3 linked regions of the Kluyveromyces lactis genome follow. The protein of the gene in region 1 binds, or shares a complex with, the protein of each later gene. Links are inferred from orthologs where the notes say so. Each region holds a gene or a part of one and is shown in the gene's direction. Other genes may lie near its edges.

Region 1 (2,126 bases):
GGCTATAATCACAATCGTGTTCAACTTAACACAAATGGTAACACAAGAATTAGCCTCACAATATCTTATAACCGAATACCCCAGACATATAAGAAAGGTTCAAGAATGCCAATTGAAAACACTTCTCTCGTGTGTGGCGGATGCATCAACGAGCCAAAAAAAAGAGCCAAACCCTTGTATATTCACTAGACTTTATTATAACTAGATTTATTTTCCTTTAAAGTGTACCTACTGTTTTTTTTTTTTTTTTTTTTTTTTTTTTTTTCTATACATTCCGCAATAGTGCTTCAACACTACCCTCTTCATATAGGAAACCGTCAAAATCTCACTAGTGTTTCATTACCACATGCTAGCGTGATATGGAGGTGTATATAAGCCATTGCTATCGTTAACTACCGTATATGGGGCTATCTTGACGCATTTTGCCAAATAGTGACGGAACGGCTGTTACTCGGCAGCAGACACCAGGAGAGAAAACTATCTGATCTTATGCACGTGATACAAAAACTAAAAAAATAGACAGTCGCTTTAACACCAGCCTACCTAATTACTCGAGCCCGGAAGTCAAACTACCCCGCAATATTCTATCACGCATAATTCAAGTAGTTGGTTCAAACACCCTATTTACCTGCACCCACCTTACAGCTTGATCGTCCATAATCCAGTATAGTTGTTTGATATTTCAAAATAGGAAATACAACAACTACCTCAGTAAGGACTTTTCTCGTAATTCGGAACCCGCATAGTGCAGCTGGTGTTCCCAACGAAATGAACAAAATCTTTTAGGTTAAAAGATCTCTCAAACCATGCACATTTTCTGAACAATTTCCCGGACATCAGCAACAACACATATTCGATCACATGACTTCCGAATATTTTCAACTATGATTTTTCATCATCAGAAACTGACAAAAAATTATGAAGCAAATGTTGAATTGAAAGAGTTATATCAATCGGTCAGTGAATAAATGTTGGCGTAAGTTCAACTCTGAGTTTGACTTACGTGCACTGGATCTTAAGAAACAATCCTGTCAAAGATACCAATGTTCAAACAGGTTTTCGGATTGAGCAGTAGTCTGACTAGACTATCGTTGCGTAATGTTCGTTCAAGCATAGCATTTGCACCACCACTGCAACAACGTTCTTTCTCATATACTTCACCAATACAAGCCACGTTGAACCAAATAAAGAGAGGGGTCAAGCCTCCTGGCCGTAAGAAGATCACTGAATCCCCAGATTTGGAGGTATGCCCGATTCGTAAAGGAGTTGTGCTAAGAGTGATGGTATTGAAGCCAAAGAAACCTAATTCTGCTCAGAGAAAAGCTTGTAGAGTGAGATTAACCAATGGTAACATTGTTTCTGCATATATCCCAGGCGAAGGCCATAACGCACAAGAGCACAGTATTGTATATGTTCGTGGAGGCCGTTGCCAAGATTTACCTGGTGTGAAATATCATGTTGTCCGTGGTGCCGGTGATTTGGCCGGTGTTGTCAACAGAATCAGCTCCAGATCGAAGTACGGTGTGAAGAAACCAACAAAGGAGTAAGATACCAACAGTATTATATTCTGAATTATCAACATAAAATATATACTTATGTTTATAAACTAGACCTTCATGTAAATATGCGAATAATCTATCTACTGGTTGCTCAATCTTTATGGCCACGTGACCGAAATTTTGTTCGGATGGTTTTTCCATCATAGAAAAGTGCTGAAAATTTAGTTAACAACGATTTCAACGAAAAGGTGCCCCTATTGGAACAAACAGAAAGAAAGATTCATCATCTGCAAGGAATTGGGAAATTTCGAAGAGACTAAACCTGCTCAGTGTTGAGGAAACTTACAAGTTGATATTGTTCCAAGTCAATTGAAGAAAAGCTCATAGACTTGTTCGAAAAAAAAGCCTGGGTGAACACTTGTGAGCCTTCTAATATCAATACATAATAATGTTACACCTTAAACCATACAACCTATTGGTCCAAAAGACATTAACAGAAGCTTTGGAAGCTTACAACAATGGGTCTCCTTTAACTTTGGACAGAATCATCTCCGACTTTGATTATACAACGTTACACATCACCAACGATGGCACTGATAAGTCGAACCTATTAGTTTCCATCAGAAC
Region 2 (2,382 bases), about 1.8 Mb from region 1:
TTGGCCATTGATTTGTTGATATTATATTGCTCAAAAGTTTCAAAATATGAATGATTTTGGAGTTCAATTCACTTGCACCTCCCATTGCTCTTAGCTTCTTATTGGAAATCGTTGCAGATTCATCAAGGATGGATACCAATGCATTAATAGCGAATGCTGAGATCAAAGGTGATGCGACGTGTTCTGCTGTTGGACCAGGTGGAGGGTTTTTTAGAATGTTGGTAATTGCATCCTGTGCTCTCTTCCTTACTTTTGGTCTTGGATCTAGAGATAGCTCAAGTAGACCATCCAAACCTCTTGTTGGAGTCACCTTTAAATTTTGAGTGTTATTCCACGTTTGCGTATCCTGGGCAATTAACAAAGCTTCTAAACAACCAAGAGCGGATTTGATCAAAGGAGCGTTAGCCTTTTCATCAGTAATACATGGGGCAACTTTAATCAAAATATCAGCAAACCTGCTCTTTAATATTTTCTTTGGTGTATAATGAAAAATGATGTCCAACAAATACATCGTTGATGTTGCTAATTGTAGATCTTTAATGGCCGCAGTTTCTGTATCGATAGTTTGATCCAGCAAGGACATCAAAGAAATAAGATAATTCACGATGTTCTTATTAATTGCCTCTTGCTCATTAATATTTTCTTCAATAGCAGCCAAGATTATGGCAATGTGCTTCTGATTCTCTAGTTTTGATGTAGATTGTCCTCTGATTTTAGCAAGCTTATCTTCAAGTTCAAGAAGCTTGGACGCTTGTTCAGGACCCATATTGCACAATTTGTTCGCTTGTCAGTTTTCAATCCCAAGTTAAACTCAGTAATTCTCTTTTCTGAGGTGTTGTTGATTATAACTCGTCTCTACTTGTTAGATGAGATGAGCGATGAGATGAGCTAGATTGAAAATTTTATACAGCTTGTGAAAAATTTCTTTTTAAGCCCTTAGTGATGAAGCAGCAAGGATCGTGAGGCAATGAAGAAAGCAGAGAATAAAAAGTAAATAAATTTTGGTTAATATATGCCAACTCTGTATATATGCGTCTGCTAAACGGGTTCAAGAACATACTATTTCATTATTTGTGTCGTTAACTTTCTTTACTGAATGCGATGTTATTTGTAATGCCAAGTCGTTTTATATGACTGCATTTTTGGTAAACTAATTCCCACCGTCAGTCTAACTCCAGTAAATAAACACTTTCTCACTTATAGATACTTTCTCATAGATCAACTTCCTATACTATTAGGCTGTAATGTCGCCATAAACGCCTAAGACGAATGTTGCTCATACGGCTGTTAGATATCCCACCTATATCACGTGATAGACATGCTTTATTTAGTTGGTGTTGAAAATCCTTCGAAAGATAGAAAAAAAAATTCAATCAACATTAAAAGCGTAATAACAGGACAAACATATTATGTATCAAGACGACCAGAGCGAGTAAACCAAGTCTCTTAAACCAGAATTTAACGCCAAGTTTGGTGAAATACAATAATCATGACGAAAGGTTTGGTGAGGATAAGACTAGCTAGATTCGGAAGGAAACATACCCCAGTATACAACATAGTTGTTACCAACAAACATAAGGCGTTGAATAGGAAACCAATTGAAGTATTAGGAACATACAACCCAATCCCAAAACCATTAACGAAGAAAGAGGTTAAACAAGGTGTTGTTCCTACTAAAGATGTGGAATTAGACTTCGGAAGAGCTAAATACTGGATCGGTGTTGGTGCTCAACCTAGTGATACGGTAACAAGACTATTGAGAAAAGCTGGAATCCTGGATGAAAATTGGGGAAAGACCTACACAAGTAGTAGGGTTGTTATTGAACCTAGGAAAGAAGTCTTTGAAGAATAGACCAGCTGTTCCGATTACTGTATTAAAAGCGGTATATCAATAATCAGGGCATAAATCACCATCTCCCAAGGCTTTCTTACGGTCAAGAACTCATGTATATAGGCTTAAATTGATAAGAGGAATTCGGGCACTTTTTCCGGTCATAAACCAATGTAGTAGTTACATACACTTAACAGCTTGGCCCCATGCGGTAAAATTGAAGTGATTAAATTTACATATCACCATATATAAGATGCTATCAGGTAATTCTACACAATAATAATAATCGTCATCAGCATATATTTCCCTGAATGAGGGAAGTATCATCGAGGAATACTGACTGTTAAACTATGTGATTTCCGAAAATTCATAAATATTAACAAAATTACAAGAACAAAAAGATGGTTTATGTTATGTTTTTGTGAATGAGTGAGTGAATGTCTAACTTCTCAAGTATTTAATAGGTATGTTTGGTGTAATGTTCAGGTTTGTATTGGAGATTAGTGCTCATGATGTTACATCGAGTCAAATTGTGTTCCAGTGCAACTATA
Region 3 (2,418 bases), on another chromosome or scaffold:
TATGAGTATAAATAACTATAAATATAATCATTATTAGAATTGATACAATTAATAGAATTATTAACCCCCCCTCGCCATTCCTAGATCTAAAGAGACACAACTTGCTATTTGTAGAAAGAAAGCAGCTGCGCTGTTTGATAGATTTAAAGTTAGAGGTTGTCGATAATGATTAATAAGGATAAAATTGTTGATGGAGTTGTTTTTAAAGACGAAGATGATCCTGAAGAAACAGTTGTTTTTAATTTCCATACTTGGGTAGAAATGCTTAAAGCAATTATCGTTAAGTATGCAAATAAAAAAGAAGATGAGGCTGAATTAATGGTTTTATCGTCTTCATTAGTATGTAAGCCCATTGATAGTTATCTGGCAGTATGTCTTCGTAGCCATGAACTTGAGTATCATTGGGCAATGCTGATAGCTTACGGTGAACAGTTTTGGTTGAAAGGAGTAAGCTCTAAACAACCAGATGATTATTTAATATTGGACGAGAGTTATAGAAAAGACCACAATCTAGCTGAAGAAAGTTTTGTATTTAACGATTAATGGATTGAAAGCTGGAAAAGTAGTAATATTTTCCAGCTTTTTAATTTGTTGTTACGTTTATATGTTAACCTACTTAACCTGAATAACCACCAGAGCGGATAGAACACTGACTGATAATAGATGAATTGATGTTACATTGGAAATCACACCAATATTGATAAAATCCTCGAATTAGTTCAGAATCGCAGTTATTTACTGATTCATTATTCCCATCAGATCCAGCCAAGAATCAAGACCCTGCCGAAAAGCTGGGGTAAACGTTTGATTGTGGCCCACGGCTGGCTATGGGCGATTTCTACGTGCGGCAGCAGCGCGCCAGCGCGCCGCTGATCAAAGATCCATTACTGCTGCAGGTTACCGACAATGAAAGCCAGCTAGCCTCGATGCTGGCACACGAAATCTCACACGTGACCAAGCGCAACGCACCGCTGACCTGGGTAGGCACTCGGCTCCATTTTGCTGGCTATAACCAACCTGACTGCCGGCATAGCAGCGCTCAGCGGTACCGTCGCCGGTACCCAGCAAACGGATCATCAGTTTTGGCCAGGTCAAAGAATAGGAGGCCGATTGCATCGGCCTGTAGGTGCTGGAGCGCGCCGGGTTTGATCCACAGGGATGCCCGACTTCCTGCAAGAGCTTTCCGATCAATCGCGCTACACCTCCAAGGTTGATCTGCGTAAACTGGGTTGACAACAGGAAAAAGGTTGAATGCCTGGCAATGACTTAAGTATCCTTTATTTCAATCTCTTTTTTTTTGAAATTTAGAGATCTTTTCAACATGGAAAATTTTATTCAATAACATGAATATTAAGCAAGCAAGAGAAGGAAAACAACCAAGTCGCTCGGGCCTTTCTACGCCTGTTAACGAGAGATTGAATAAATTAAAACACATCAGAAGAAATGTTTTCCCGCAGCTGCGCAAGATTCTTTTCTACCACAAGATATGTCTGCAACAGTCTTGACCAAAAACTTCTGAAAGAAGGTATGTCGGAAGCTAATAGCAAGCCCACAATCAAGAAGCTAGAATCCAAGTTAATCAAAAACTTTCAGCCGGGCTCCGTTTACAATCCATTTGATTTCTCCTTAGAAAGAATACATTTAGATAAGAAGTTTGGGGTACGTCCTGGATCGTTTGACCCATTCAACAAATTGAAGATCAATCCACTTGATTTATACACCAACCCAGAGTTCTTGTCAAGATTTGTGACATCAACGGGTAAAATATTACACAGAGATGTAACTGGTTTATCGGCTAAGAACCAGCGTCGTCTAACAAAGGCTATTAAGAGATGCCAAGCAATAGGTTTGATGTCTAAGGTTCACAAAGACATATCGGTGCTTCCTCAAAGAACTGCAAACAGAAGCTAATCATGACATGTGATAACTTCTTGTATATATGAATATATGTTTCTCAATAAATAGGATTATATCTGTAAATAGCGCTAACAGTATAAACACGTTGCAATGGAAAGCTCCGGGACTGAATGATAGTACAGTGTTCTCATTTGTCGAATAGTCTATCCGATGGACCGTGCAATCGTATATAAACATCAGTACCCCATCCCCACAATGACTGAATGTCAAGTGTACCATTGAACAACTCTAGGTACGCTTTGCACATTGGAAGTCCGAATCCCATACCTGCAACGTTTTGGACTTCTTGACCAGGTAAAACATAATCGCTCATACCGCTGTCCTTCTCTTCCTTCACCGTTGTGGAAAAAGAATAATCAAAGACTCGGTCTTCTACCTGTGGATCTATACCGCCTCCGAAGTCTCTGATTCTGATCTCAAGTTGATCGTCGTTTTTCACTATTGTTACTTCCACATCTTTGTCAACGTTGTTTTCAATATGTGCTCTCGAGCTGTTCTTAA

Evidence for each region.
Region 2: MRPS12 (region 1) and MRPS16 share a complex: the UniProt entries of both Saccharomyces cerevisiae proteins name them as parts of the mitochondrial small ribosomal subunit. The link is inferred for Kluyveromyces lactis from reciprocal best matches to the Saccharomyces cerevisiae genes MRPS12 and MRPS16.
Region 3: MRPS12 (region 1) and RSM18 share a complex: the UniProt entries of both Saccharomyces cerevisiae proteins name them as parts of the mitochondrial small ribosomal subunit. The link is inferred for Kluyveromyces lactis from reciprocal best matches to the Saccharomyces cerevisiae genes MRPS12 and RSM18.

What each region holds. Positions count from the first base shown.
Region 1 is NC_006042.1:670,167-672,292, forward strand, and holds MRPS12 (mitochondrial 37S ribosomal protein uS12m), read left to right. Parts: upstream 1-1,043; coding exon 1,044-1,547; downstream 1,548-2,126. Other genes in the region: ARC35 (Arc35p), read left to right, coding at 1,948-2,126. UniProt on the Saccharomyces cerevisiae protein: Component of the mitochondrial ribosome (mitoribosome), a dedicated translation machinery responsible for the synthesis of mitochondrial genome-encoded proteins, including at least some of the essential transmembrane subunits of the mitochondrial respiratory chain.
Region 2 is NC_006042.1:2,519,166-2,521,547, reverse strand, and holds MRPS16 (mitochondrial 37S ribosomal protein bS16m), read left to right. Parts: upstream 1-1,489; coding exon 1,490-1,852; downstream 1,853-2,382. Other genes in the region: mRNA-binding protein RRP12, read right to left, coding at 1-766; CIP1 (Cip1p), read right to left, coding at 2,378-2,382. UniProt on the Saccharomyces cerevisiae protein: Component of the mitochondrial ribosome (mitoribosome), a dedicated translation machinery responsible for the synthesis of mitochondrial genome-encoded proteins, including at least some of the essential transmembrane subunits of the mitochondrial respiratory chain.
Region 3 is NC_006041.1:409,307-411,724, reverse strand, and holds RSM18 (mitochondrial 37S ribosomal protein bS18m), read left to right. Parts: upstream 1-1,443; coding exon 1,444-1,911; downstream 1,912-2,418. Other genes in the region: KLLA0_E04599g (uncharacterized protein), read left to right, coding at 166-543; KLLA0_E04577g (uncharacterized protein), read left to right, coding at 828-1,214; protein kinase PKP1, read right to left, coding at 2,045-2,418. UniProt on the Saccharomyces cerevisiae protein: Component of the mitochondrial ribosome (mitoribosome), a dedicated translation machinery responsible for the synthesis of mitochondrial genome-encoded proteins, including at least some of the essential transmembrane subunits of the mitochondrial respiratory chain.